4 linked regions of the Arabidopsis thaliana genome follow. The protein of the gene in region 4 interacts with the protein of the main gene of each other region in a pairwise test. Each region holds a gene or a part of one and is shown on either strand. Other genes may lie near its edges. The genes, in order: HDG2, EMB1135, AT3G60670 and LOV1.

Evidence for each region.
Region 1: the proteins of LOV1 (region 4) and HDG2 interact in a two-hybrid assay, tested with the Arabidopsis thaliana proteins (one large-scale study listed by BioGRID).
Region 2: the proteins of LOV1 (region 4) and EMB1135 interact in a two-hybrid assay, tested with the Arabidopsis thaliana proteins (one large-scale study listed by BioGRID).
Region 3: the proteins of LOV1 (region 4) and AT3G60670 interact in a two-hybrid assay, tested with the Arabidopsis thaliana proteins (one large-scale study listed by BioGRID).

The regions. Positions count from the first base shown.
Region 1 is NC_003070.9:1,511,830-1,521,854, reverse strand, and holds HDG2 (homeodomain GLABROUS 2), read left to right. Parts: upstream 1-2,954; 5' UTR 2,955-3,285; intron 3,286-3,628; 5' UTR 3,629-3,674; exon of another isoform or gene 3,675-4,797; 5' UTR 4,798-4,830; coding exon 4,831-5,072; intron 5,073-5,150; coding exon 5,151-5,268; intron 5,269-5,845; coding exon 5,846-6,034; intron 6,035-6,403; coding exon 6,404-6,817; intron 6,818-6,891; coding exon 6,892-6,993; intron 6,994-7,064; coding exon 7,065-7,265; intron 7,266-7,292; exon of another isoform or gene 7,293-7,330; coding exon 7,331-7,505; exon of another isoform or gene 7,506-7,589; coding exon 7,590-7,861; exon of another isoform or gene 7,862-7,934; coding exon 7,935-8,030; coding exon of another isoform or gene 8,031-8,051; exon of another isoform or gene 8,052-8,110; coding exon 8,111-8,467; 3' UTR 8,468-8,481; exon of another isoform or gene 8,482-8,555; intron 8,556-8,561; 3' UTR 8,562-8,954; downstream 8,955-10,025. Other genes in the region: AT1G05240 (Peroxidase superfamily protein), read right to left, coding at 1-72, 166-351, 441-653; AT1G05220 (Transmembrane protein 97, Putative), read right to left, coding at 9,199-9,360, 9,592-9,912. UniProt on the Arabidopsis thaliana protein: Probable transcription factor. Involved, together with PDF2, in the regulation of flower organs development by promoting the expression of APETALA 3 (AP3) in the epidermis and internal cell layers of developing flowers.
Region 2 is NC_003070.9:29,848,918-29,856,185, forward strand, and holds the start of EMB1135 (RING/FYVE/PHD zinc finger superfamily protein), read right to left. Parts: upstream 4,550-7,268; 5' UTR 4,299-4,549; coding exon 3,690-4,298; intron 3,613-3,689; coding exon 3,439-3,612; intron 3,354-3,438; coding exon 3,223-3,353; intron 3,030-3,222; coding exon 2,953-3,029; intron 2,364-2,952; coding exon 2,182-2,363; intron 1,992-2,181; coding exon 1,914-1,991; intron 1,703-1,913; coding exon 1,570-1,702; intron 1,300-1,569; coding exon 1,239-1,299; intron 1,163-1,238; coding exon 1,081-1,162; intron 763-1,080; coding exon 634-762; intron 552-633; coding exon 408-551; intron 297-407; coding exon 197-296; intron 108-196; coding exon 1-107. Other genes in the region: OCT2 (organic cation/carnitine transporter 2), read right to left, coding at 5,223-6,806. UniProt on the Arabidopsis thaliana protein: Required for normal embryo development. Necessary to acquire heat stress (HS) memory, by modulating nucleosome occupancy and regulating heat-induced gene expression.
Region 3 is NC_003074.8:22,422,353-22,428,877, forward strand, and holds AT3G60670 (PLATZ transcription factor family protein), read right to left. Parts: upstream 4,018-6,525; 5' UTR 3,840-4,017; intron 3,723-3,839; coding exon 3,546-3,722; intron 3,440-3,545; coding exon 3,365-3,439; intron 3,186-3,364; coding exon 3,045-3,185; intron 2,688-3,044; coding exon 2,343-2,687; 3' UTR 2,084-2,342; downstream 1-2,083. Other genes in the region: AT3G60660 (spindle/kinetochore-associated-like protein), read left to right, coding at 18-85, 164-269, 345-374, 479-592, 738-815.
Region 4 is NC_003071.7:644,907-652,610, reverse strand, and holds LOV1 (NAC domain containing protein 35), read right to left. Parts: upstream 5,074-7,704; 5' UTR 4,607-5,073; coding exon of another isoform or gene 4,568-4,606; coding exon 4,276-4,567; intron 4,134-4,275; exon of another isoform or gene 3,946-4,133; coding exon 3,677-3,945; intron 2,646-3,676; coding exon 1,962-2,645; 3' UTR 1,791-1,961; downstream 1-1,790. Other genes in the region: AT2G02455 (uncharacterized protein), read left to right, coding at 4,394-4,606. UniProt on the Arabidopsis thaliana protein: Transcription factor that acts as a floral repressor. Controls flowering time by negatively regulating CONSTANS (CO) expression in a GIGANTEA (GI)-independent manner.

The sequences.
Region 1 (10,025 bases), on a different chromosome or scaffold from region 4:
CAATGCATCGTTCAATTTCGAGATGCGTCCATCCCTGCGGCCCAATGGAACCGGCCACCATGGTCCCCCGATCTGTTCAAAGACAATTAATAAGTTATATACATACTATAGTCTTCAGTTTTGGAATGACAAAATCACTAGTCCATTGCGAAAATGGAATGTTACCACTGCCACGGCATCTCTGGCGACCAAGGCAAGAACATCAGCGCAAGAAATGAGATTAGGACACTTCCTCTCCAGCGCTGTCTTGGCCGCATCCACCACTTCATAACCTTTCAGGGTCAGGTTGGGGACAGCGTCTCTTTCCGCATCATTCTTTGCAGATTTCAGAAGAACGGAACCATCACATCCCTACATGAATCATTACAAAAGAGTGTTAGGACTAGCTAGTTTTTTCATATCCCTTGGTTAACAGTCTCGAACAAGTGAACCAAGCTTACTCTGACGAAACAATCATGGAAATGCATCCTTAGAAGTTTAGCGGCAAGGGTTTTCTGGCGAGAAACATATTGTACTGTGACACCACGAACAATTTCCTCTGCCTTGGGACACTTAGACCGGTAGTAGTCGAGGTCAAGCAACTGTGGAATGGCGACAGAAACTCCAACCACGCTAAGAAGAACCACAAGGGCGAGAATGTTCTTGATCGCCATTACCGTCTCTCTCTCCTTTCTTCGTTGAGTGTTTGCCAAGTAAGGTGAGAACGAGCTTTGGAGATGAAGATGAAGGAGACATTCTCAGGCCTTTTATAGATCACCCAGCGGCTTTGAAATAGTCCATGGAGAAATGCCAAACAAGATTTAGATAATCCCATTTGCATTTTTCCTCTGTTTCTTAATGAGGGTTGAAATACAAGAGGAGCTCGAGGAGGACATTGCATGGCCTCCACTATCTTCTTGATCTCTGCTGGTGCTGCAATTAAATATATTAAATTTCCACAATTAGAAGAAATCGAAATCATGCAACGATTAAGAAAGCTTCAAATCATCTTTTGCGCTTTGAAAAGCTATTGACTTTGGAGAAGATGTAGTTTGGGGAATTTTTTTATTAGTCCTTAGCTCTCAAAAGTTAAAAACTATAATAAACTGTTATAGTTTGTGGAATCCACGTTCCTGCATTCTCAATGTAAACTATCCAAGTTGCTCAATTCAGTGATTGGATATTACAATATACGGCTAGTTTCTTGTGAAACAAGTCGTCCTATAGACTAATGCAAAACAAAACAAAAAAATCAATCATTTTCCTTAACTAACTTTCCACTCTCGGAGAATGAGACTTTCGGCCTTGCCATTCTCGTTGGGGATAAAATATATAATGGGCCAAAAGTTTACTTCCGTCTTATGGCCCATATACGAAGCCCAGAAACAAAAAAAAACTACGATCTTGAATTTATTACAAAAGCATCCATTTTTTCAACAGAAGAATTCCATTTTGAATCTCAGATTTGATCATATTGGCAGAAAAAACACTAATTGAAATAAACTAAAAGTTTGACAAAAAAAAGAAATAAACTAAAAATAAATATTTGAGACTTACGAGGATGAAACAAACTTAAAATGTGAATAGTATTGTAGCAATTCTTTTTTGAAATAATTAACTTTTAGTGATGTAGCAGGAAAAAAGAAAAAACTAAAAAAAAAAAAAAAAAAAAAAGAAAAAACTAAAATGTTAGGCGTTGAATTACTAGTTTTTTTTAGTAGGAGAGTACGAAGAAGGAAGAGGAGGTTAAAGTGCAAGAGAGGCATGAGAGCAGTAAATGGCCTAAAGCCCATGCAGCCTCTGTGTACACATTTAATGCGTCGAAACTATTCGCCACCCTATCGCATACGTACGTACGTATAACTCCATCTATATATCTGTACCTACATATATACAGTAAAAATCAGAAATAAGTTGGGTTATTGTTTTTTTATATATAGTTATTTTAAAGAATCTAGGTAAAGTATAAACTTACTGAAAAGAAAAACTTGAGTGTTAAAGCTATAGCTATAAGGACTTTAAAAAAAAAAACAAAGCTTAAGAACTAGGTAATTAAATACGCAGTATATTTCTCTATATATTCGCGTGATAAATTAAGATGAATGCATGGCTTTTACAAATTATCACCTTTTTAATGGGTGATCCGTATTTTAAATAGCTTAATTGCACGTTATAGTTATAAATGCTTGGGCCACAAAGTAATTAATATTTCTAGGCATGTAAAATGAAGTCTTACTGTGAAAAAAGTGATATTTCATTGACTTCCTTAAATTGAAAAAACAATTGTTTCGTAAACAAAACTCAAAATTAAGGTGATGATTTTTAGATTTTCTTCTTTTAAATGAAATAAAATAAATACATCACTCAATCAACTTCTGTCTGACTAACAATAATACAACCTAAACTTCTATAATATTTAAGAAAATGCCATGTGGAAGAAGAATCATGAAATTTTCCTTCTTTACAATTAAATTTATAACAAAGATATGAAATAATAATAAAATAAAATAGTTAAAAATATAATAGTCATATTTTTTGAAAGTAAAAATTAAATTTATATCTCATAAAGATAAATATTAACTATAACAAGTCATTGAATTTTAGTTAAAAAACTATATAATTTTTTTCCATATTATAAATAATCTAAGAGTATTAAAATTTCAGAAAATTACTTTTAAAATTGTATCCTTGACAAATGGGGACTATTGTCTAACTTTTTCTGTAAATGGAGAACTGTATTAAAGCAAATTTCAATATAGTTAAATCTTTTTTTAATATAGTTAATTTTGTTAAGTGGTGATTTATTGCATATGCATAAGTTATGAATAATGCTAATGATTTTTTAAAAATAACTACATATCTAATAGATAAATGTAAGTCTCATAGGCTCATAGACCGTTAGCCGTCATTCCTCACCACATTATAATATTTTAAATAAATAAAAAATAAAATTATTTTAGGTTGACATTGTATATAAGATGAAAAACAACACATAATTTTGTAACATAAATAAAATAAATTGTAACATATCTCTCTCTCTCTATATATATATAAGCGTGTAGGATAATTAAGTGTCCCTCTCGCACCATTTAATTTCATTGCACCCTCTCAATTCTCTCTGTCATTACTCTCTCATCTCTCTTCCTCCAAGATTTGCACCTACCTTTCAAACCTTTTGCTCGCCAACAAAACCGCGCTTCACAAAACCATCAGCGGTTTTCCGAGAAACAAATCTCAGACCAGACACCGCTCTACTCTTCTCTCTCTCTCCCTCTAGGGTTTCGTCGCTTCTTCCTATATCCCAGTGTATGTCTCGAAAACCTCATCATTTCTGCTGTTTTCTTTATTTTATCCATTAATTCATGTACACAAATTTATTTGTTTAAAGTATCATTGGATCCATTACACTTCAGTTTTCTTAGCATCTTTATAAAACTCTCACTTTCATGATGTTTTTTTTTTATAATTTAATATATCCTGTATGTTGAATTTTCAGTTAGTCATCTATATTTTGTCTTAAATTTTGCCTTCTTTAGCATTAATTAATTGATTTCTTGCCTCTAATATCTTTCATTCCTCTCCTAATTTGCTTTCTGACTTTCTGATTTATTGTATTCTTCTTTAAATAATCTTATCAATTTCTGCATAGTCAGAGATGAAACCTTCAAGAAAACAATAAAGAGGAAAGATTAAAGGTTAGTATTCCCTTGCCTACCAAAAAAAACAGAAAGGTTTGTATTCTCTTCGTATATCCTTATTTTCATTATACGTTTGGTTTTATATATAAACACGTGTATATACTTTATAGTAGTAGTATACATTTACATATTAATGTGTGTAATAAAAACGTTTAAATACGATGATGATGATAAGAAATAGCTGGAAAAAATTAATACATCACCCAGGCCTTATGTCACGTTGGTTGTAAGTTGTATAATAACTATATGTTGGTCCGTCGCACAGGTGCACAGATATAATACTATTTTTTTCATTTCAATTTTTTTTTCTTTCTTAATCGCCAAATAGTAGTTTACACTTTTTCCTGAAGAGTTTTTATTTTTTGAAAATCTACTAATGATTATATTTAATTAAATTTTGTTTTGTTCTCACGAAAATATTGTTTTTTTAATAAACAGGATAGAGTTGGGAATTTATTTGTACCTACTTTTTCCCATTTTATTTGCTTTGAACAAATGAGTCCAACATTTCTCTTTTCGTCTTCTCTTTCCTATCCCATCTAAATCAAAACTGATCAAAATACCTCGAAATTTTAAATTAAATCACCATCCATCAAAGCTATTATAGTGTAGAAATTTTAAAGTTTTTTCTTTGGACAACAATTGATTTCCATCTACACTACATATGATATGACTCTTGAATCAATCATAGTTTTTATTTCAGTCTGCTGATTAGTTTTTTTCTTTTCTTTTAAAAGGGTAAAAAATCGGTAGTTTCGAATAATTTTGAGTATGTGAAAATTCATTATTTTTGGGTTGGTTATTCAATAACAAATTAATTTGTGATTGTGATGTCTTTTTTATGCAAGGCTCTTTTTTCTTGCTTTCAATTAGTGGGTCCTTTGTTTCCTACAATCATCTCCAATTCTTCTGTTTGCTTATATCATTTTGTATGATCTTCAAGAAGAAAGATAAACGACTCCGAAGAAAGATTTAAGTTATTGTTGTTCATACAAAAAGAAGGTTGTAAAGTTGTTGACGTGGACAAAAGTATTGCCATATTTTTCCAGCCTCGAAGAAATTTCCCTTCTTCTTCAAACCCTAAATTTTGACAAAACTCTCTACTTTTTTTTGCTTCTAGGGTTTGCTTTCAGTTTCCGGAGTATAAGAAAAGATGTTCGAGCCAAATATGCTGCTTGCGGCTATGAACAACGCAGACAGCAATAACCACAACTACAACCATGAAGACAACAATAATGAAGGATTTCTTCGGGACGATGAATTCGACAGTCCGAATACTAAATCGGGAAGTGAGAATCAAGAAGGAGGATCAGGAAACGACCAAGATCCTCTTCATCCTAACAAGAAGAAACGATATCATCGACACACCCAACTTCAGATCCAGGAGATGGAAGCGTATGTGTTTAACTTACTCACTTACTTCAATTTTCTTGTGTGTTTTTTGACAATTCTTTTGTTTTGGTTGTTAAATAGGTTCTTCAAAGAGTGTCCTCACCCAGATGACAAGCAAAGGAAACAGCTAAGCCGTGAATTGAATTTGGAACCTCTTCAGGTCAAATTCTGGTTCCAAAACAAACGTACCCAAATGAAGGTATACTTTTTATATTATGAACATATATACATTAGTTAATGGATCTATATATATTAGAGAAAATATATATACTTGTTAATTAAATTGTTATTTCATTCATATTAAGTCTTGTATATATACATTGAAGGGCTTATCTTTATACTTAAGAACATTTTGGGTGGCTGGTGTTTTCTTTCAGAATGAATTCATTGACTTTTGGCAGATTTTAGATCTAGTTGAGACACTTTGACTTAAAATTTCTTACTTATTTTTTTTTTCAATTGAAAAGTTGTTCCTTTGGCAGAACTATATATTTGGCGGATCAAGCTATAGAAAATTGTTTGGTTGTAACAACATTGCCTATTTATTATCTTAGTTAGAGCCATATATAATCTATAGATTGAAACGTTTTGGACACATATGCTTACGTTATGCAAATACGGTGAAACACATAACGTGTACACGAGTGTTTTATTTGAAACATACACTTTTCCTCTTTTTAAGTAAAATCCTTTGTTCCTTCGTTTTACCCAAATTAGAAATAAATCACTTGTATAAAACTTTAGAGATAACCGGAATATAAGTTTTATTTGCGCAGAATCATCACGAGCGGCATGAGAACTCACATCTTCGGGCGGAGAACGAAAAGCTTCGAAACGACAACCTAAGATATCGAGAGGCTCTTGCAAATGCTTCGTGTCCTAATTGTGGTGGTCCAACAGCTATCGGAGAAATGTCATTCGACGAACACCAACTCCGTCTCGAAAATGCTCGATTAAGGGAAGAGGTATGAGAATCAACTATTTTAAATGTTCAAATAATGTTAAGAGTTTTACACTTAAATGTTGTCAAGAAGATAAAATAAAAAATTAGAATTTGTTTTTATACCACTAATGTTATATCGCTTTCACAATAATCATTTCTTTCTTCATAAAATAAAAACTTTTATAGATTTGTATTGAAATTAGAGAATTTAAACATTTTTTTTTCATTGAAGAATAGAAAAAATTATGATATTAAATTGAGATACTAAAACGATATTTTTGGAACTGTAAGGAGTAGTAGTACATAATAACAACATTACTCAACGTTTCTTCTTGTGACCAAACTTTGAAAACCACAAGGATCAATAATCTTTCTTATTTGTCTGTTTTAGATCGACCGTATATCCGCAATCGCAGCTAAATACGTAGGCAAGCCAGTCTCAAACTATCCACTTATGTCTCCTCCTCCTCTTCCTCCACGTCCACTAGAACTCGCCATGGGAAATATTGGAGGAGAAGCTTATGGAAACAATCCAAACGATCTCCTTAAGTCCATCACTGCACCAACAGAATCTGACAAACCTGTCATCATCGACTTATCCGTGGCTGCAATGGAAGAGCTCATGAGGATGGTTCAAGTAGACGAGCCTCTGTGGAAGAGTTTGGTTTTAGACGAAGAAGAATATGCAAGGACCTTTCCTAGAGGGATCGGACCTAGACCGGCTGGATATAGATCAGAAGCTTCGCGAGAAAGCGCGGTTGTGATCATGAATCATGTTAACATCGTTGAGATTCTCATGGATGTGGTAATTAACATTTTCATTTTACTTAAAAGCAATCTTCTCTGTTTAGTTTCAACAACATTGATATGATGTTGCAGAATCAATGGTCGACGATTTTCGCGGGGATGGTTTCTAGAGCAATGACATTAGCGGTTTTATCGACAGGAGTTGCAGGAAACTATAATGGAGCTCTTCAAGTGGTAATTTTTTTTGCTTTTATTCTGTAAAAATTAAATTTCAAACTGAAATAACCACTCTGTTTTGCTTGCAGATGAGTGCAGAGTTTCAAGTTCCATCTCCATTAGTCCCAACACGTGAAACCTATTTCGCACGTTACTGTAAACAACAAGGAGATGGTTCGTGGGCGGTTGTCGATATTTCGTTGGATAGTCTCCAACCAAATCCCCCGGCTAGATGCAGGCGGCGAGCTTCAGGATGTTTGATTCAAGAATTGCCAAATGGATATTCTAAGGTAATATAATAAAAACATTAGGTTATACAAAATGTTTACTTAAGTAGAGAGAATTAATGTAACAGGTGACTTGGGTGGAGCATGTGGAAGTTGATGACAGAGGAGTTCATAACTTATACAAACACATGGTTAGTACTGGTCATGCCTTTGGTGCTAAACGCTGGGTAGCCATTCTTGACCGCCAATGCGAGCGGTTAGCTAGTGTCATGGCTACAAACATTTCCTCTGGAGAAGTTGGCGGTATAACCTACTGTTTGTTTCATAAACAGTTTTCATAATCAGAGTCAGAGTCAGAATCACAGTTCTATATTAATGAATATGCAGTGATAACCAACCAAGAAGGGAGGAGGAGTATGCTGAAATTGGCAGAGCGGATGGTTATAAGCTTTTGTGCAGGAGTGAGTGCTTCAACCGCTCACACGTGGACTACATTGTCCGGTACAGGAGCTGAAGATGTTAGAGTGATGACTAGGAAGAGTGTGGATGATCCAGGAAGGCCTCCTGGTATTGTTCTTAGTGCAGCCACTTCTTTTTGGATCCCTGTTCCTCCAAAGCGAGTCTTTGACTTCCTCAGAGACGAGAATTCAAGAAATGAGGTAACTATTTTAGTTACTACGCTCTCTTGTTCTGTTTTGGACAGAGTTTTGATGTTTTTGTGAGATTTTGCAGTGGGATATTCTGTCTAATGGAGGAGTTGTGCAAGAAATGGCACATATTGCTAACGGGAGGGATACCGGAAACTGTGTTTCTCTTCTTCGGGTAAATGTGAGTTACACCGGGTTTTGAACTATTGTTATAATCATCTGATCCTAGCTAAGAGTTTTCAATCTTTCTTTATGTCACAGAGTGCAAACTCTAGCCAGAGCAATATGCTGATCCTACAAGAGAGCTGCACTGATCCTACAGCTTCCTTTGTGATCTATGCTCCAGTCGATATTGTAGCTATGAACATAGTGCTTAATGGAGGTGATCCAGACTATGTGGCTCTGCTTCCATCAGGTTTTGCTATTCTTCCTGATGGTAATGCCAATAGTGGAGCCCCTGGAGGAGATGGAGGGTCGCTCTTGACTGTTGCTTTTCAGATTCTGGTTGACTCAGTTCCTACGGCTAAGCTGTCTCTTGGCTCTGTTGCAACTGTCAACAATCTAATAGCTTGCACTGTTGAGAGAATCAAAGCTTCAATGTCTTGTGAGACTGCTTGAAAACCATCCATTAGGTACTACTTTCACTAAATATATTCTTCTCGCTTTTACGCCATTATATGATGTAATCATATTTTTCTTCTTCTTTCTGCAGGAAATAACAAAATGGTGATGATGGAAAAAAGAGAGAGATTTCAGTTTGAGAAAAGCGGAGGAGTCAAGATCGAACCTCACAAGAGAATACCATTGAGTGTTTGTTAGTGTTAAGTTTTGGTCTGCTTATTTGATGAAACTAAGCAGTGAAAAACTTTTTACTTGAAAGTGAATATGTAGATGGTTTTACGAGGTTCGGGAATTTGACTTCCCCTGTCACATACTGAATTAGACAAAAACAAAAACTAGGTTAGAAAGAATGCTTTCGGATTTCTTTTTGTGTTACAGTTACTGTTTTTCTTTCCTTCTTGTGGTTAGATGGACCATCATCAGGAATTTGGAGTTTGTCTTTCTTTTGTATAAATATCTTATACAAGTATTTTGGTACTTTTGTAAGCTTATGTGAGTTTGTCTAGGGGAAAGCTCACACTTTTTTTTACCAGACAATGAGTGTCTCTCAAAAGGGCCATTGCCAAGTAAATTTACCTTTTGGTTCTGTTTAGGTTAAGTTCAACCAAGGAATTGTTGCTGAGTTAATACTTGAACAAAATTTCTAGAAGGGATAATGTTTTCACATTGAACATTCATACCATGTGATAAAGTAAAGTTTTCAAATGAGAAATTACCCTGGTTTATCCTCAAGCAAGCTTTCTCCTGGCTAAAACAGTTGATCTTTTGGTCGAACAAGTCACCAGACCACGAAGCATTGCCAGAATTGCAAGACCCACGAAAGGCAAATACGCCAATAGCAATTTGTTAGTCACCTTCTCTGAACCTATCATGTCTCCAAGTATAGCAGCCTAGAGATTCACAAAACACACAAAAACAAAACGTGAAAGAAACTTACAAACAAAGCGGTACAATCTAGCCTTCTCAGAGAAGCAGAGCAATCACATATACTAAAATATAGAACTCCAAAAGAATTTTCGTTTCCAAATCAAGAAAGTTGTAACATTTACAGATCAACAACATCAAAAACAAATATACATAGACTGAGCCAAATGAAAATGAAGAGAAAGAAGAAAATGTACCATGGAAGTGAGGAAAGAAGCTCCATACAACAAAGAAGTGGTACCAAACCACGACTTGCTGGTAAGAATGGCGTAGATGTTGACAATGGAGAGAGGCAATAGGAATATGATCTCATGCCAGACGAGTCCAACGAAGAAAAGAGGCTTCTCTATGAAGAGGTAATCGTTGAACTCAGAGCTGTACCAGTCTTTCAGATCGGTGAGGAGCTTCGGGTAGATTCCAGGAAATAGTATTTGACCGTTGAGAAGCGGTACATTGATAGCCATCAGTGCGAAGAAGAAAAACAGAGAGATGTTGATCAGCTTCCCCAAAGCTCCCATCTTTTTTTGCCTCTCTCCCGAGTCGTTGACCACAAAAATGAAACAGAAGAAGAAGAAGAGACGAATTCTTGAGATTCACGCACGGTTTATTTAATTGTTGGTTTTACTTAACC
Region 2 (7,268 bases), on a different chromosome or scaffold from region 4:
ATCACTATCTGGTTTCCACTTTGCCATCTTTCTTACTCTCCCTCTAATTGAAACACCAGGTGAAGCTGAATGCCTCTTCCTCTGAAGTTCTTTAACACTATCATCCTCTGTAAAAGTTCAAAAGAGGCATACTATGAACATGAAATAAAAACCACCAGGGATTTAAAAGCAAAACCTCTTACAGAGAGTAAGTTACCTGACAGAGGTTCAGGCTGCTCGGGTAAGGGATAATTCTCTTCCACAAATTTCAACAAGAGCTCTCGAGGTCCCGAGACAAAATCATCAAGCTCAAGACCCTATGCCAAGAAAAAAGGGGGAAAAGATTATCAATACGTAGACATTAGTTAGATGGAATCAAAAAAGGATACTTAATATTTTTTCCAAAAGTAGTATGAAGAGAAACACACATATTTATTTACAGCCTCTTCGGTTCGAGCCTCTCCAGTACTCTGAAGGCCAATAACTACACACTTGTTTGTTGACAAGGCTTTCTTAGCTAACCTCACAGTTACAGGGACTTTAGCTGACATACACAGGTGTCTAAAGAAACGCTGCAGTAACAGACATGAAATAGATTGACCAATCAGCAACAGTAATAACATTGTCTAACTTTTGCCTGTGGTAAGATTATACCTGGTGGCTTGACCAGTATAATCTCCACAACTGACTAGAATTTGGTTTCTCGTTAGGGAGAAAAGCACTTGCTGACAACAACTCTATCCGTAGCTCTGCCCAAAATTCTGCAGACTTATTGTACATTGCCTACAGAAGAAAGCGAGTAATACAGCACAAAAGTCCTGATTTTAATTTTTCGACAGGGATCTCTAAACTATAAACAGGGGAACACTCGAAATAATGAGCTTGCTTGCCAAAAAATATCAAAGCACCATTGAAAATTATCTAATCCCAATAAAGCAGACAGAAATTAATGTAAGAACTTGGTTCAAGCTACCTCAGAGACCCCCTACTCTTCATATATACTACTTTGTTGAGCTTACACGACATTTATATAGAGCTAGATAGTCAATTAAGATATGAGAAGCAATCAAGCAACATAATATTAGATAGAAGATGATTTACCTCCATTCCTGCTTCTAAACGAGCTTCAACAATCTCAAACTCAGCCCCTTTGTAACTCAGGGTTCGGCATACATACATCCCCCTATTACATAGAAGGGGTGTTAGAATGAATTATGAGCAATGCAAATGGCTAAATAGTATGACACGGCTTGTAAAACCTCGCTTTCATATCCATGGCAACCAATTCCAACGCTCCTGTCCCACCTTTATCAAGGGCACCTGCACAAAGTTGTGTTAAAGTTCCATTCCAAGTTATGCAATGCATAAGGTAGAGTAAGAGAAGCGAAGTAATTATTAGAATTCAGTGAATGCGGTCAAACTTCATTTAATGAAATATTTTGTATATGCTCTAGACAGAAGCTAAAACCTGACACTTAAATGAATTCATGTTTATCGAACTATAAGATAGAACGTACTAATCCAAATGTTACACACACACACAAAAAAAAAAAAATCAATTAATCAACAGGAGTAGAAAAGAAAACCAACCTAGGAATTTGTTAAAATCACTAAAACTTGTTCCAGCTCCCCAAAGACCAAGCCTGACCATATAACCCATGTTTCGTGGTTCTGATGCCCCAGTAGCCGAGCAATAAATAACACGTGCTTGGGGGATCTTATCCTGCTTTTCCAGAATTCATTAGTTAGAGTCAACTAGATGGCACTAACCACAAATTAAGCATGTTAAACTAGAATATACACTATATTATCTGAAACCGAGAAAAAGTACAACCCAAAAAGACAAGTCGAAGTATATAATCTCTCACTCTTCAGAGCCAAGAGCAATATTAAAAGCAACACTGATAAGAACATTCAGTTTCAAGTAGCCAGACCTGAATGTCAACAACTGCCTGTCCGATGCGTGTCGGCTGACTCCCAGCTTCAGGTACCAAATTTTTCGCTTTATGGCACTATAAAAAAGGAAAACAAATTAGTACCTGCACAATGTACTAAAGATTAGAGGTTGGCCCAAAATTGATAAAACCAGTGATCAAGCAACTTACAACGACAGGGTATACTCAAATTGTTCAATTCACAAAAAAAGGGGGATGATGATTTTAACGCAAATAATTTAATATACTTCATTCATAGAACTGTTACCTCATCAAAGATCAAGAGACCATCAAATTCTGGTCCACACCATTGAACAAGCTGCTGTAAACGAGAACGGCCCTTCTCAGAGGAAGCAATGAGGCTATTGTATGTCAAGAATACCACTCCTTCTTTAATACCAACATTTTTCGAGTCAAGCTTAGAATAGGGTAGCTTGTTCAAAGGATTCACTGCACGTCAAACATATTGTTATTTAGTTGCAGAAAAAACAAACTGGACATTTGTTCACTTGAATGAACTTATCCATCGACATGGTTCCCTTGATTTGTCGTATTTTTCCATCTCCTAATATTCTATTAAAATTCCAAGCTCAAACCTATAAAGGATTAATGAGACTAAGAATCAAATATCCTATTGGACTATTCTAAAGTTACAGTCCAACTTTTATTTACCTGAAATTTTCATGAACTGCACAAACATCAGCTACCCATAACATTCTCTAGGCATGAAGACACCATAAACAAAGTTCAGGGACCCATTACCTTTATCAGTAAAGAAAATAAGTTCTCTAAAAATACATGTGTACTCTACATCGTAATATTAAAGCATGAGTCAATTTATCCATTCAGCAAAGTCAGAATCTCATTCTGATCCAGTCTACTCTATACCATCCACTTTCAAAATTTTCTATTCAACAATGAGCCAGAAAATAATTTATAGCATAAGCTATATGTAATTATGTATAACATATGAAGCATTTGTGACCCAAGAAAATAAGCGAATTACAAACTTAATTTACAGCCAAAATCAAGATAATACCTCCAACGCATGTAGCACCCACATCATCCAAGTCCCTTCTTGCATCATATTTCAAGTCTGAGCCAATAGAAATCCACCTATGTAAATCATAAAGGAAAAGGAGCAAATAGTATTAGAACTCATCCTACTTTAAGTTATCTAAGAAACCAAAAAAGGACACCGTAGACACAATTATGCAAATGTAGTATAATCATAAGTCAGATTGAATTGAGCTAACAATATCTTATCAAGGATGTAAATGGCGCAGAAGTATCTTTCTACAAGACTTACAAAGCTTTCCTCCTTCCATGTTTCCAATTTTCCCAAATCAACCCGGCAATTGTTCGCCCTTTGCCCACACCAGCACCATCTCCAACAAAAAAGCCTGCTCTGGTACCATCAGCAAGGTGCTGGAGATGCCTCTGTAATAAAAAAAAAACCATTGTCATACAGGTAGAAGATACGTTTAAATGCCATTAACCAAACTTTTTGCCATTTAAAAGCAACCTGGCAAGCGTAAACTAATGTCTCAATCTGCAAACACGATAAAGCCTTTGACCTTTCAAGCTCTTCCTTGATTTTGAGATCATAAGTAGGCTCTGGGGGTTGCACTGCAGATAGAGATGATGTTTCCACAATTGGATCAGGATGAGGAGGTCCGATCGAAAGTTTTGGGGGACGCTTCACAAAGAAACAAATTAGTATCATCAAAAACATTGAACAGACAGAAAAAGATGATCTCAAGATGAGGCACTCACATAATCCATAAACGTTTCTCCAGCCGTTCCACCTTCATCTTCTTCTCTCTCCACTTCAATAGCTTCCTCATTGACTTCTTCGGGAGGAGGCGGAGGCGGGACTGTGGGAGCAGCAGGAGTAGGAGGATTAGAATGAGATTGAGAAGCAGTTAAAGACCGATTAAGCTTGGAGACATCAACAGCGAGCTCGACATGGCACTGAGGACACGAGAACCGAGTGAGTCCATGAGGCACATTGAGGATAGCCTGACAGTTAGCGCAAGGCAATTGCATCTTCGTCGGATCGATTCCATGTGCCGGAACCGGAGGCCTAGGTAGATTAAGAGGCTTAAGCTGCTGTTGAATCGGTGGCGGAAGCGTCTGAATTGGCTGTGGTGGTTGTTGTGGAGACTGCGGAAACTGCGGCCGTGCCCTAGAAAGAAGCTCCGGCGGCAACATTTGGGGAAGTTGACAAGTCGGACACGAGAACTCCACAACGCCGGTTTTCACCCTCAGAATCACGCGACAGCCTGCGCACCTAACCTGTACATCGCCTCTTATTACACCTCCGGCGGCGGAATGCGGCTGAGCTGGGAGCGGCGGAGGCGGTTGAACAGGCGACTGCGTCATGAGCCGCGGCGATTGATCTTAAGAGAGATCCGTGAGAGGCCTTAGGATCTTGTGGCGTTGAAGGAGATAATTGAGAGAGGAAGACAAAAAAAGTATAAATCCAGTGTAAGTAATGAATTTCGTCAGAGCGCGAAAGGTTCTTCTTCGACTCCCTTCTCGTTTTTTTTGGTTTCAGATTTTCTTCCCTTTTTCTAATATTATTTTGGGATTGTTTGGTTCATCTAAAACTAATTATAATTACCCAAGAGGAGTCGAAGTAGGAAGATACAAAACCACTTCCGTACCGGTTGGGGTAATGGTAAGTGATGGGTTGATGGATCACGTGTCATCACGTGACTTGCCAGCTCACCGTTCGTTAGTTTGTGTGGGCTTAAAATAATAAATCCACATAAGTTTTGGGTTTGTGAACTTTGAGACCACTTAGTTGGGCCTAAAAGGGTTACAAAAGGGCTGATAGATGGGCCTATTTGTAAATTAAACCTTTTAAACATATCTACCAAGAAGTGTACAAATTTCTGTCTGGTTTGTTCTTCCCATTCAATTACCAAACAGCCAACTACCAACAACCCCAATGAATATACTTTCTTGGGATTGGAACGATTCATTTTCACACAACGTGTGAAAATTAGAACAGAAACACAATTATCTCTAACAAAAATCAAACAGCCAAACGTTTAACCATCGGCATCAATATCCAAACGAGACAAATTTGAATTATTTTGTTATTCAAGAAATCCATGTGTTATAGGTGTAAACTGTAAAATGAGATTGTTTCATCAGAGTGGTGCTTTGATGGCTCATTCTTAGAAACACTTTTCAACTAACCAAAAAAAAAGATATGTGGTAAGTCTTAATGTAATCAAGTGATAAATACTAAATTAAATCTACATTAATTTCACATGTGTTTTCAAATTCTTCACCATTTCATGCAATGACATTATTAACGGCGACTTTACTCCGCCGGTCTTTGCACTCTTCCTCGTCCATAGTGTCACATAGATCACTCCCTCTAGTCTCTGGCAATCCAACTGCAAACAATCCCAACAAACCTATAGCAAGACCAAACAATCCGAACGACCAGAACGCGTTTTTCCGACCAGCTGCTACCATAATAGGGCTGAAAACTCCACCAAGCACCAAAGCCTGTCTAGCCATTGCGATAGCCGAGTTTCTCACACATGTCGGAAACAGCTCGATCGTGTATATCATCTCCATGTTAAAAGCCGAACACGCGCTAAAGTAAGAGATTAGCTCTAACGCCAACTGTAACGCCCCGTGGTTTCCAATTCTCATATTATGTAACGCAAATATGAGAACGCTAGAGACTCCACCTAAAGCCGTAAATCCGATAAGCGCGTTTCTCCTACTGAGTTTATCGACTAGGAAAAGCGTGATGAGGTTCGCTGGTAAATCCATCAACGCATTAAACGCTGCACTTAAATAGATGTTGAAATCAAGATTCGATAACGCTAAAGGCATCCCGTAATAGACCAAACCAATCCCGAACGCAATGGCCATTACCGCGGATAATCTCTTAAGCGCCCATCTTTTCTCTACCAACACCTTCATGGTCGTGAAGATGTTAACATTAGTACTAGGCTTCTCTTCATCTTCTTCAAAAGGTAAGCTCGAAAAACTCATAGATATTGCACCACCACTGCTTACATCAGTAGACGGAATCGAAGCAACCCTTTTGAGAATCGAAATAGCTTCTTCTCTACGGCCTCTAACGAAAAGCCACCTTGGAGACTCACAAACGAAAAACCGAACAAGAACGCAGTATATTATCGTTGGAATCGAAGTCCATGCGTAGAGAATCCTCCAAGAACTTCCTCTGTTCATGTAAGCCATCAAAGGAAGAGACAAAAAGCCAAGCATGAATCCGAAGAAACTCATTATCCCTACTCGTCCTCGCCATTTCTTCCCAACTAATTCCGTCGAAAGAACGAGCGCACATGTCCCTATCGTCGCTCGACCAAATCCATTAACGAATCGAAGAACAGCGTAAACCCAAATGTTTGGTGAGAAAACCGTTAGCATCGTTGATATCGCCATAACGAGACAGGACAGAAACAACATGTTTTTACGACCCAAGGAAGAATCAGCAAGTGTTGAGAGAACCAAACCTCCGATTAAACATCCGACGAAGAAAGAACTCTCCGGTAAGCCCTTGACGAAAGAGCCGGCGCATTGGAGACCCCATTCGGATATAACAGAGACGTGAGGAGAGTAATCCCAAGACCATGCGGTTTTGGGGAGGATACAGATGTTGGAGATGGATTCATGGCAGATCGAGTTCGAGTCGGTGCAGTGCCACGTGGGTTCGGAGTCTGTAAACACAGAGATGAAAGTTTGTTGAGCGTCGAAAACACCGGAGAATGAGACTAAAGCCGCTTGAAGAAACTGAGCCCACCCAAAGCTTCCAATGTAACTCTCGATTGTGTCGTCGAGAGATCTCGGTGATGACGAGTTGGAATCGGTCAGAAGCGGCTGAGTTGGTTCTGCCATGTTGCACGAGTTTTCACCTCTCTTTTTTCTTTTTCTCTCTTTTTTTGTTTGTTTGTTTGTTGGGATTTCTTGTTTGTTTTGTTTTGTTTTGTGGAAGCATTTGAGACGGCGAGTCTTCCGTCCTCCTTTTATAAAAGGAAAGCTCGGAAAGTGTTGACTTTTCCACGTTGTAATCAAGTTAAATTTTTATTTTCTAAAAATGTGGTGTACAAATTGTTTACAGTGTTATGACTCCATATAATTGTTGTAATCGGATAAATATTTCTTTTTGAAAACATAAACGCGTGTAAGAAAAAGAGTAATGCTTTTCTGTGTTATATTAATAATCAGAGTATAAATAATCAGACCAGTGCAAATTCTGTTAATTTAACCAATTTCGATTCCCCAATTTTGTTTGATATTACATTTTCTAATTTAGATAGTGATGACATTGGTGTGATTATTCTGTGGATAATGAGCCTG
Region 3 (6,525 bases), on a different chromosome or scaffold from region 4:
TTTGGTTTTGTTTCCAGGAGAAGAAGGGTCGCGGGTCTCCTCCCCTTTGGTACATAACTGTTGAGGAACTCAATTCACTCTCATCGTAAGTACATTTTACTTTCTCTTCTCCTTGTTTATGTGAAATGCATACCGCTTTTCTGACATTTTTCCAAAAAACAAGATACATGAGAGGAAGGCTCACCCTTGAGAAAGTGAATGCTGCTATCAATGACATGGCCTCATATGCTGAAGCAAATGCTCATCTTATTGCAGCCTCAAAACAGAAGGTATATTTACCAGCTGAAGGAATTGAGTTATATAGGCTACAATTGTACTGACGCTTTTGTCTTATATTGCCAAAGCTAGCGGAAAATCTCTGGGAGAAAGCACTTGTAAGCTAATATAACTCATCAACCACACTGTCTAGATGATAGTATCCGTTCACTAGTGAAAACATTGTTATAATCTTTGATTGTCTTGAAACTCTTATATGCAGAAACTACGAGATATCGTAACAGAGCAAGCAGTGAAGGGCAAACATTTCTTTCTTGAAACTGACATGAAGGGACCAAGTTTGAAACTAGACAACACAGGAAAAGCAATACTTACTGTAAGTAACTAATATATCTTCCCTTCATTTCAAAATTTCAACAAAAAAGAAACAACATTTTCATGCTTCCTTAAACTCTTCACCAGAGTTAGACTAACATCGATAACACATGCTTATTGTCAAATTTTGATGTGTCTATTAACAGGTTCTTCGCCACCTTGGTCGTATTAGTGAGACTCGCATTGGACAAAACCGCGTCATCATTCTTATGAAGCCTCACTAGAAACCAACCAACTTGCCTCAAGTAAGTTGTTCATTTTCACAAGCGTAAGGGGTAATTCCGTCATTTTTCAATAGTTTCTTGCTTCTTCTGAGCTCCTTGTACCATAGAATCATAGAAGGTCTACTGGTCCCTTAAACATCATTAAGCCTTAATCTTAATCCTTAAGACCGGCCCGCCTGACAGGCCCAGCTAGGCCCAGGATTTGAATTTATAATATGGACAAAAATGTTTAATGCAATTTTCACATTTGCATAAAAGTAGAAAAACTCGATTTCCGTTATTTTCATAATATTAAAAAAGCAATTTCTCTAAGCAATCTGGTTCAAGTTCCAGTGCACAAATGGCCTGTCCCATTCAAACCTACAAAGTAGCAAAACTCGGTTTCCGTTTTTATTTAGTGACTTTTTACCTCCACATAGTTTTCTTAATACTCCAATACCTTTAAGGATCTTATCTGTGTCACTGTCTATTCGTAAAATCAATAGATAGTAAATTGTAGCTGCCATACATTTATCTTGATACGGACAAGTAAATTTGGCAACATTATTTTCCGAACAGAAGAAGAAAACAAATCTAATAACCAAGCGAAAACGACGATCCTTGCATTATTGTTGTTCATATGTCCTGAAATAAAAATCAAGAGGCACTACGAAATGGGAAGAAGAAAGTGGTCCAGGGAAACAGGAGAGAAAAAAAAAAGACTATTTGCCTCAGAAACATTCACAATTTCACGTTTATCCATAATGTCTGTTCCAATCTCTTTGTCTTCTTTTTTCGTATAACCAATAACCAATTTTAGTCGTCTTTCGTTCGTGCAAAACCCACAAAATACGTTATGCATAAAGACAAAAACACACACTATACAGTCTTATCGCATGCATTTTTTAAAGAAAATTCACATTTATTACCAACCAACTGATATCAAATAATTAATTAACATGTTTACTATTTTGTGAGTTGTGACCTAAATTTTATATACATACAAGAAAGAAACATTCATAAATTTTCTGCAGACCACATTTAGACTTATAGAGTTCTCCATCACTACCATTTTACTTCTTTTATTTTCAAAACGTATCATTTAACTCAGCCAAGAAAGATATGGTCGGTCTAATGCATTTAATGACAACAAATATTAATCCTTTAAGAATTTACTTCGCCGCTGTAAATGTTAAATCAAGCCGTCTCAATAGTACTGAAATTGCTATTCGTGGAGGAAGAGGTATTTTTAAAAAATTATAAAAAATGGGAAGCAATAAAACGGATTATACGAAAACATGTTTCATTATACGAAAAGTATTTAAATTAAATAACATAGAGTTCTCTCATTACGCGGTACAGATATCAGAGTCAGACAAAACCAGGAGAGATCTTTTCAACTATTCTTAATTCCATTTCTTAAAAAAACCTAAAATTCGATTCGTTATTTAGAGATATTGATTAACAATATAAAATAAGACTATAGTAGTTACGTGTATTCATTCTACTTACCACTTGGACCAACCAAATTTCGCCAAACGTCACGAGTTAATAAAGCGGGGCGCGTTGCGGCGGATTCTTCCGACGGTTTAAAAAGTTCACCGGAGCTTCCGTGTTAGTCGTTGAAACCACCTCCGTGACTCTCCTGCAAGTCGTCGACAAGCTGCTTCTTTTCTTCCTAACGATTTCAGTAGTGGCGGTGCAAGCGAGCGCCTGACACCAGAACATGTCTTCTCCTTCGTTACCACTTGACTCGGAAGATGTTCGGTTCGACCCGGTGGGCTCGAGAGTGGAACTCGGTGTCGTTGTCGTGACTTCGTCGGTTAAATCAAGAACGTTGCAGACGCGGAGAAACCCTGAGAGTCCTCTTTGTCTCATTATGACGTCACTAATCTACATAAAACAAACAAACCATGTGTTTGTGTTTTCAGCGACAATTACGTGTAAATATGATCGTACACGCGTGTTTATATTAAAAAGCAGAAAAACAACAAAAACAGAAAGAAATTGAATTGTGTATTTTGAAAGAATTTGAAAAATAAATGAGACAACAAATAAAAACGTTCCTTTTTTATCTGACGACAATTTCGTGTACTCGTGCATCAAAAAATGAAATTTCTAAAAAAGAAGATCGACCCAGATGAAGAAAAGTGGTAAATCGGACTGGGTATGTGATAGAATTTTAAATGAAAACTTAATTAACGAAGAAAAGATGTTCCTTTTAAGTAATTAGAACAAGAAAAAGCAGACCTTGCAGGAGAGACAGCAGAAGAGGTAAGGAGACTGGAGACTCCGGTCACAGGTGATACAAATGTTACCGGAACCACGAAATTGTCGAGACTGAGGCCGTTCATTGATGAACACAACTTTTGAACTGTTCGTTGTGTATGGCTTTAATCATCATCAACACATACACACACACAAAGAAAAAGAAAAAGACAACGAGTATTAATTAAAGCTGTCAAAATTTTAGGGCACAAGAACCAATGAAAATTGGACTTTTAATGTATACAATAAACGGATTAAGAGTTTTATCATGATAATTAAATACAACCAGAACCGAGTTATACCTGAATTAAAGAGCAATCCATTAGCTTAGAACCATCTTCAACCCTCAAAACGTCTCTATACACGTATCTTCTTATCTGCGTAAAGATTCCCAGAAACACACCAAGTTCATATTTTTCTTCCGACAAATATGAAGATTTTTGAAACCATTAAAAAAAAGTTTGTTTATTTTAAGAGAGAGACCTGAAGAAGACGATGAGAGGTATGAGAAGAGAGACAGTGAGGACAGATGGTAAGACAACAATCGATACATAATATGTTCTTCTCGTTCTTCTTATCATCTTCATGATCCAAACAAGCGTTGAAAAACTTGTCTTTTAACAGAACCTCAAGCCATGCAGGAAATTCTCCAGATTCCATCTGCAAAATACCAAAAAAAAAACAGTAAACTTTAAAGACGAAACCCATACATGAATCAAGACCCATGTTTCAATTTCATGTTTTTTGGACTAAAAAGGTAAAATTGAGAAGACCCACCTTGGCTTATCTTCTTCTGGTTATCTACACTGGGAGGTGGTTTTCTCGGGGAAGAGATAGAGAGAGTAAGGTCAAGGTCAGGCGATTTTGAGCTCTCTCAGTGGTGAAATTGACTGACCATTCTCAGAGAGAGAGAGAGAAAGAAAGAAGGAAAGAGAGAGCGGCGCCTGGAGAGAGTGACCACTAGCTTAAATTCAAATGAGTCTTCTCTTCTTTCTCTCCTTAATGATGTGTTGTAATCTTTAGTATTCGTTAATTAATTTGTTTTGTTGATTATTTACTCTCATTTAGTTTTATCCATTAGTTAGAGAAGTGGTTCACTTAGATACGTTACTAACTTACTACGTAATGACTACTACTAGATAGCAGAATTCGATTATGAGTGTTGAAAAGTAACAATTTTGGGTTATTTATCATTATTAAGTACCTTTTCATTGACAGATACAGTTCCAACTTGACAAACAGAAGTGTATATTTATTAGAATTCAGCTTGGCAATAATAATAAATTTTATATTTACTGTCATATGAAAAAACCTTTTTTTTATATACCGTGTGAATATGAACTTTATATTATAATTAATAATTAAATTTAAGAAAGCATTTTCTTCAGAAATAGTATTAAAAAAAATTCAGTCCTCTGGTATGTGACAGTCGTCAATATCAAAATTTTAAAGCCAAATTCAGAGTTTTAATCTCTCTTTCTTTAGACAGAAAAAAAAAACTCTCTTTCTTATAACAATATGAGTTGGGTTTTTAAAAAGAAAGTAAAACGAGATTTCTTTATACAACCAATTTGATTTTCCTGTATCGTCTCTTCATGATATAATTGTATGTGTTGTTTTTGTTTAGAAGGTCTGTCTGGTTCACTGTGAAAAAGTGCTAAATGACAAGACTCTCCCCAACAGTCTACTTTTCATTTGATCATTTCTAAGTGGCGATTTCGTAAACCCAATATAACCTACTAAAAACAAATTTCTCTTTTTACTACTACGTGTATTTCGTTCAGTAAAAATGTGAGAATAAATACCCAAATTAAAGCTAAGCACCGTTTTATAATTAAAAACATTACCATCCACACAAAAAAATAAAAATAAGCTTCATTAATAATTAAGAAAACATAATTGTAATAGCTAAATGAAGTATATGATTGATACATTGAATAGAGGAAGAAATAGAGAGCAAATTCCAAGAACCCTAAGACCCATTGTCACAGCTGTAGACTGTTCTCGAAAACCAGTGCAAAGTTGATGGGATTTATTAGTTATTGCTTATACTACTAAACTTACCTACGTACCTCACTAGACCACCTATTATTATTTTCATTTTATTATTATAAGTAAAATAATCTCTCAATTTTTGCATACAAATTTTTAAAAATGAAAAAAAAAGAATATGAGTGTATGTATAGAAAGAGAGAGAGAGAGAGGGACAGAGAGGTGGATCAGAGTTGGTACGGAGGAGCAGCAGCAGCAGCCTCAGGCAGAGAAAGAATGCGACGCCACTGCTTTCTTTTGATCTGATCCGATTCGATTTCGATCCAGCTGTCCCCTTTTCTCGTTAGCCTTTTAGTTACTATTGATCATCAGGGGTATTTTAGTCAATTTACGATATCTACATGGGCTGGGGCTTTTATCCTTTATTTGGGCTACTTACGATTGTTTGTTATGGTTGATCCACATTTCTCCTTAATCGAATTTAAAACATCTGGGGTGGTCCTGATCACAACAGCACGATTGGTGTTATTGATTTAGTCAAAACCGACGTCGTTGAAGAACAAACTTTGATCTAACAACCGAAATCGTTGGTAACCAAACGGTCAAATGAAATCAAGGGAAAGTGACATACGACCCTCAATTTTGTCTTTGTATTTGATTTTATGTCCCACAATGTAATAAAAAAGATAACTATTTCTATATGTCATTGTGGAATTTAGACAGAATGATATAATAAACAAATGTATCAATGTAAAATGTTATTTTTTTTTTAGCGGGATCAGATTACAAAAAGTTACACAAATTATTAACTTAAAAACCTTTCACTTTCAGCATATACTCGAACACGGTAAATGTAAGGTGCATCACTAATTCACTACTTCCTCTCTTAAAAAATATAGGATACTTACATATTTTAAGATTTATTTATTTATATCAAAAACTATAATCTAATTTTTTATTTTTTTTAACCAATAATATAAGAGACTTCATGATACAAATGGTCATAAAATATCAAATGTAATGAAAAGGTACATTAAAATTTGTTCTATATATAAATTAACTTAAATATATTATTATATATATGAATATTTCACTAAAGTAAATCTAATGTAATAAATTCAGGGTGATTGTAAATATGATTTAGCAATTATACAATATCTAAATAGATTAGGTGAAGTAAAAAAGTGATAATAAATATCATTGAAGTTTAAATTGTCAGTAGTTTGTACAAAAAAACATCTAGACATTAATATTTGATAAATTTAATGGTAACAGTTCGAACATAGTCTGGTTATTCTCATCGGTTTTGAACACAAACCACTGATACTGGTCTTTATTAAGCTGACAACGCAAATTTTGAAAGTTACTTGATACTATTAAATCTTTTAGATACCTTTGATAGTCTTATGGCGTTTTCGACCGTGAGGCTTGTTCAGGATTGTCGATCAAATCTTTTTTTTTCAAATGTGTT
Region 4 (7,704 bases):
CCCTAAAACGATAAAACAAAAGGGACCGATCAAAGATTAATTTTGGGGCTGAGAAGTAATATTAATAAAGACAACATTGTCTATTTTATTATTTTTGTATTAATTAAATAAAGACAACATTGTGTATTTTATTATTGTTTATGTAATAATATAAAATCTATTTATTAATTCCGATCTACATACCCTATTTTTTTCCGAGCTACATTCCCCACTCCCAAATTTTACATTATTTTTATTTTGGTCAAAGACATTTATTTAAATTTTATTTTATTTTTAAAAGTGTCGACGAAAAAAACATGTATTTTTTTTTTTTAACATATTCATTTCCATTAATATTACGAAAAAAAAACATGTTTTTATACGTAGGCTGAGGCATCCAAATTGATCCACAAATTTGGTTTTTGTTTTCAATTAACTTGACCTTAAAGATAAAAGTTAAAAGTTAAAACATTCAGGTCCATCTTGTATTGTACAGAAATAGCATGCCTGGCCCATTAAAGGATAGTGGGCTTTTATAGTAACCTAGGGGAAATGAGATTTGAAGTTTTCAACGATCATCACATTCACGTATTTTGAAAGTTTTTTTCACGATATACACCAGAAATAGATATTTTGAAAGAGAAAGCTACTAAAAAACGGAAAACATTTTGCCTTTTATCACTCAAAAAAATAAAAAATTCATCAAATTTTTAATTATTTTATTGTTTTTATGTGTGATTCTAGATGTAAGAATTAAGAAACGAACCAATATTAATCGGATTCGTTATCTTTGAATATTTTTGCGTTAAGCACGTCGTACTAGCTAGCGAATACGTTTACCGCAACTGTAATCTAATTCGTCACAGAATATCAATGATGTGGTATAATCAACTATAATCTTCTTTTTTCTTTGGGCAAAATCAACTATAATCTATGAATATATACTTACTAATATAGGTGATAGACATATATTATTTAAAATAATCTAAGAAAACATGCAAATACGGTTACATCGACCGGTTAGAAAGGGAAAAAACTTTAAAATTAGTACTTTCGTATCATATTCAAGTCAGTATATATTAGGATTTTGCCACATTACATATATTATTAAAGATTGTTAATAATTAGGATTAAAAAGACTAGTATGAGAGTTAAGTCAAGTTTAAATTTGTTTTTCTCATTGAGAAAAAGGGAACTGATTTCTTACAACATACAACTGTTCATGCTGGTCATATCTGACAAAATCACGGGAACAACTGCTCTTACCAAATATTGCACGTCCTATGCTTTTTTTTTTTGTCAAACCCTAATTAGTCTTATATTTACAAAGACAAAAAACTAGCTAACATCTTTTATCTTTATATATTTCTATCTCAAAATTAGTTGTTGAATTCTTAAGAGTTAGTGGATTGTTTATCTATAAAGTCGCACTAACAGGTAACTAAAATTAAACATCTTGGATCTAATGCATGTAAATGACAATGCAAAATGAATTCTAATAAGTGATGAATAAACAACAAAAAATATCAACATTCAATTTGAAATTTTGAAATGGAATGAAGACCAAATTAAATATCACTAGGTTGGATTTACGGTTACTATTGTTATGGTTTAGTTAGTGTTTGGTTTTAGTCTGGTTTCGGTTAGGGCTCGTACATGAAAATCTAATCCAATAAGTTTATTTCTTCTTTGGTTTGTTTGAGAACTTTTGATACGGATTGCACTCCTTAGTCATTTTGTATTCATATATTACAGTGAATTTTTTTTTTTTAACTACGTTGAATCTAGCTTAAAGAAATTAACTTTAACACAAGAAAAAAAAAACTACTTAATTGACTATATATGTTGAGAATCAGTTCCATTACATAAACTCGCAGTAATCAATCATTGTCTATCGCCATAACAATATATAAGGAGTATGAAAATATGGCAAAGCAGCATTAATAATTATTGTCATGGATAATAATCATGATCTAATTAAATTACTTAAAAGGAATATTAGTATAGTGATCTCTGTTTCCATCTGGTACTATTGGATTCCACATATCCCACAAAGCATTGTTTGGAATCGTTCCTGCAGGAATCATGTTCATAGCTAACGCCGCTTGAGTTTGAGGCATTAGCGTTGTCGCTGTAGTCGCCGCAGCCACCAATTGTAATGCGTTTGCGTTAGCATTTTGTTGTTGAGTATGATGAAACTGTTGAGCAATTTGAAAGTATTGGTGATTGATGTTACCTCCATCTGATATTTGGTAGTTAACTAGTCTTTGAAGATCGTCAACAATGGCAGTTTCATCATCGTCTTGATGATTTCTCGTAGAGACTATCAATGTGTTGTTGCTTGTGTCGTAAGGCATTGGACGATATATGTTTTGATTGGCTAGAGCAATGGTAACGTCAGAGTTACTGTTTGTGGTCGTTGTTGTTGTGCTGCCGTCGCCGGAATATTCGGTGGAGAGCTTCTCGAGATTGTTGATGTTGTTGTTGTTGTTAAGGTTGTTGTCGGAATGATTAGAGGAGGATGAATGGTGTTGTTGTTGTCTTAAGGCTAAACGGGATGATGTCGATGAGTTATGGTTATGATGTCTTGTGGAGAGAGAACGTGGTACCGATGGATGATCTTCTACTCCTGGCCTTTTGTACACTCGGCACAATGATATTTCAGCCTATAATTATACATGAGCACATTGATTAGAGACTTGATACATATATCAAATTATCAAATATAGACTAACAATATCTATGAAAAATATCATTTATCGAAGATATGGTTTTGAAAGAAGATTCACAAACTATGTAAAGTTAGCATTAGCAAAAAAAGATAGCACGTTTAGAAGAAATTTAGAGTACTATCATATGACGTAACAATGCAAATATAATTAAGATGATTATATTTATTATTTTTTATATATTTAATTGCGTAATTTTAGTTTTATTAGTACAAGTGAATGTGCAATACATACACATAGATAATTATGTCAACCCTGTTGTTTTAGCTGTCTTATGCATACATCATAATATCATATATATACATAGAAAATTTTATAAATTTATGGTTTCAAATGGTGACGACATATAAGTCGAAAGAGCCCAAAAAATGTATTTATCTATCCATTGTCATTTTCCGTATACATAATATTTTTTCGGTCTACTCCATAAACCGTTATCATTCGTATAGATTTTAAATGTTCGCATATAAATATGTTGGTATAATTCATATATGCCAAATTATTTCAAAAAATGTTGGGTAACTTAAATAGAAGACATGAATTAATGTGAGGAAGAGCAGGAACATTCATGTCATAAATTGTAAGAAAAACTAACTATGTCTCTGCAGAATTAAGGTATATGAATGTCGAGTGTGATACTTGTGTGTTTATATATATGTGTATGCATCTATCTATTAATGTATTCTACTATAACATATGGGCCATGTCTAGCAATTTAAAGAGTTCACGCATATGACATGAACATTTTTCTGGATTTAAGCGCAAACGCCGCCTGACATTTAGTCCATTCACAAGTATTTTTGATCTTATCGAATCAATTCCAAAATAAATAAATAAAACTAGTCAAAAAAGAAAAAATTCAAACTGTCTAGGGATTAATTTCAATTTTAAAGGCCTCACCACCTAGCTAGGGTTATATCTATGTATGTATGAATAGGATATATATAGAGTTATAGTAGAATTTATACCTTTTGGTACTTCTCGGTTTCATGGTGCGGAAGACGATACTCGTTCATGATCCAACTAGTACGAGTGCCTTTAGGGGCTTTACCAGAGTAGAAAACTAGGGTTTTCTTTAATCCGATAGGCCGAGAAGTCTCCGATCTGATCATCCTATCAGCTCCGGTGGCTTTCCAATATCCTGAAGTCGTTACTCGGTTCGGTCTATCTCCATTTCTATATTTCCGATCTCTTGGCACATAGAAGTACCACTCTTTCTCTCCTATCGCCGCCATAGCTGCATATACATATATCTATGATTAAACATACATAAGCTAATTATGAAAACATACACATATTTGTATATCTTATGATATATATGTAGGTTGTTTAATTAGGTTAATTTAAGAAAGAAACTAAAGAGGGAGAAGCGTTTAAAGATATTGAGAATTGTTAACGATCGACATAGTAATACTTCATAAGGAGGTAGGTACATATATAGGTTAAAAAAAAAGAAATAGAGAGAGAAAGTGATAAGAGAGAAGAAAGATCTTAACATATGAATAGAAATTAAGATTTCCAAATAGTTTGAGATGATTTATGTGTGTTTATGTGAATGTATATTTACCAGGAAGTTCCCAAGGATCATAGCGATAAAGATCGAGGAAAGTGATGAGTTCTACATTAAAGCGTTTGCCTTCAACTTTTCGGCGAAGGTAAAACTCTATGAGTTCTTCTTCGGTAGGATGGAATCTAAATCCGGGCATGACCATGTCATGATCATGATCATCAGCTTCATCTTCATTTTGGACATGACTCTCTTGGCCGCCTCTATGATCATTGTCTTCTATACCTTTTTCGTTATTGTTGACTTGGTTACTCATGGGAATGATGCTTGTTGTGGAGGATACAATTGCCATATATCAAAAAGACTAGATATGTGTATGCATGTGGATTAAGGTGATATATGATGATGAAAAGTGATTAAGGGTTTGCTTGGTTTTTATACTAACAATGGAAGGGAAAAAGAGAGATGAAATTGAGTGGTGTTGAGTAGAGATAAGAGGAGGAGAAGAAGAAGAGAGGACGACTATATAGGAATGAAACGTCATCGTTTTTGGGAGTTGAGACCAAACTAGAATAAGACAAAGAGAGAGAAGAAGAGAGTTAAGGAGGAGACAAAGACTTGTCAAATTGAGGACAGGGTGTCCACGGTTTTGTTTTCTTAGCCGTGCCTTTGGACCTTTCTCTCACTCTCCATTTCTAGCTTTTTGTTTCAAAATAAAATAAAATATCTATCTATTAGTTTTATGTATTTTTTCTAAATACTAAAGTTTCAAATATTTAATAATTATTGGGTTGTAACACAAATGAAAAGAACAGTTGATATCTTTTACAGGAAAAATTAAAGTTTATGTATTATAAACGAAAAAATATTTTGAAACAATATTACGAATTGACATCTTTCAAATGGATGTCATGGACCTCATGGTTACTAGTTCAATTATACTTGGAAAAAATAATAATTAATGTTTTAAATGCAATATCAACAATTGGTGTGGACATACGAAAAATATAGACCGAAAGTCTAAAATTCCCAAAAACTATCATTCTTAGAAAAAATATATCATGGTTTTCTTTATAGTTTTATTTGCACATGCACCATCTCATGCACGTTAAAGATTCATTAGTTTTAGTTAGGTATATGATTGGTATTTTATAAAGACAATCTAAACTTTAGAGAATAACAAATTAAGTTGATTTCATGTATAATTTATGTGTAAATAGTCTATATTTTGTTTTGGTTTTTGTTCCAATCCATCGCTACAAAAATTGCGAAAGTGTAACTAATCTAATTCTCCTGATCAAGGCATAGCGATAAAGGATCCATAATAATTCATTGTTATAGGTAGACTAATTGAATAACGGATATTCTTAAAACAATGTTAAAAATTTGGATTATTATAGTTAATTTATTCATCGTTGAGACAAAGAATTCTGATTGGTGGCCTATATTACTAATTAAATAATAATATCACGTATGCTTACTATGTCACTCGTCATAAATATATTTACGTGTTTTTCATATGCTTCAGCTTCACGAACGTTCTCTTATTGTTTCGCTATTTTTTTTATGATATATTTGGCCCACCATATCTTCATTGCATGATACTACTATGTCTTCAATTATGAATGCAAAACAAACTGACCATGATTTTGCCAACGCTCTCCATGTTCCTATGACTTAGTAAGAAGCTGAACTTACAGTACATATGTTAGAATTTAGAAACCCGCCAGTTCTTTAAAATTTGTATTAATATATATAGATACAATATATTATATTTAGATATATGTATCTATAATCTATATGTATAATTGTTCCATTTTATTAATAATTCAAAAAAGTAAATAAGATATAGACACAAAACAATAAACATCGTAACAACATTAGCATATATATATATATATATAGCTGAGCTAAAAAGGCTAGGCAAACTGTAATATATTTAAGTTCATCATGGAAAGATAGATAAAATATATACTAAGTACAAATTTCATACTTACAAGTTTATATGGAAAAATGAATTTAAAGTATCAACGTAAATGAGATAATGAATGAAATTAAAGTGAGGTGGTAGTGGGGCTTCTACGAAACGAGAGTGGGGTTTTTAGAAACCTTACTCTACGTTGTAATGACTTCATATTTTATATTTTTATTTTGTCAAATGTTTCAATGGATGTCATGGACTTCATATTTTTTAGAAATCCGTGAATGCATATATCTCATTCACAACAAATTTCATTGGATTGAGCTCAGTGTAGACAGACATTTTTCAATATGGATGTCGCGTACCAAAAAAGCTTATGAAACGTGGAAAAGATAAACTATTCAACAACCATTAATTAGACCATTGCGATATCAGAAAATGAACTTTTTTGTGTTGTTAATTCGAATCTTCGTCAAGAAAATTATCTAGTTACATGATTTTTTTTGTTTTTATGTTTAAACAATTTATAATATATTTACTACGAACTAATCAAATAGTAAATCAGTAGACATACACATATTTCAAAAATTATTATACCAGTTTAGTTTACATAAATGTATAGCTTTTGGATATATATTTAAGGTTTTCATTAAAATGAATGTAGGTATGAAAGGAAATATTATGTATGACATGGAATCATAGGCATGGACCCTTCGAATATTGATATCAGTAAAAATATAAAATGGCGATAGAAATTAGGAATTAAATGTATTATAAGAGAGTTTAAAAGTAGATTAAGCTAGTGCATAATTTAATGCAAGCGAGTCTTCCATCGGTTTGGCTTTTAGCTAGGGGTAGCAAGTAGGGTGGCGGATATTATATAATGTACATTCCAGAAGATTAAATCATTTTTTCAGTTTAAAGTTTTTGCAATTGTAAAAAATTAAGACCTTTTAATTTTAATTCGAAAAGAACATATATTTCTATTATTATATATATGACATATTATTAACTTATATTTTGTCTTCTGATTATTACATTTTCACATGAGTTTGTCTTCGTTAAAGTTTTAATTATTATATACTATTGTACATATACAGCATAATAGCAACTCAGCAAGGGATTACTTTGAAAGTCTTAGAATCTTCAAGCTTACTATTTGGCTAAATATGCAATATATATACACGCCATTAGTTTGTGCTTTAGCAATTGATTTAACCAAGCTGTAAGAAGATAATTCGTCTGGTAATTGTTGTACCATTACTCTGTAAACTTTGGGTTGTACTCTTCATTTTTTCTTGCTGTAAAAAGAAAAAAAAAACACCTAAAGCATGTAAAATTCTCATATTGCTTTAAACCAAAACAAAAAAGGAAAGATACAAAACGTGGTGAGAAAATATAATATAGTTATAGAAGTTGTGAATTTTAGAAGGGACACACTATATACACTTGAGTCTGATTGGAAAACAAATGTTATAAAAGTGCATAATAGCTGTAAGAATTTCCTACCGATCATACTTTTGCTTAAATCAATTATAATATGAAACGAGGAAAAATTTAAAGCGGGT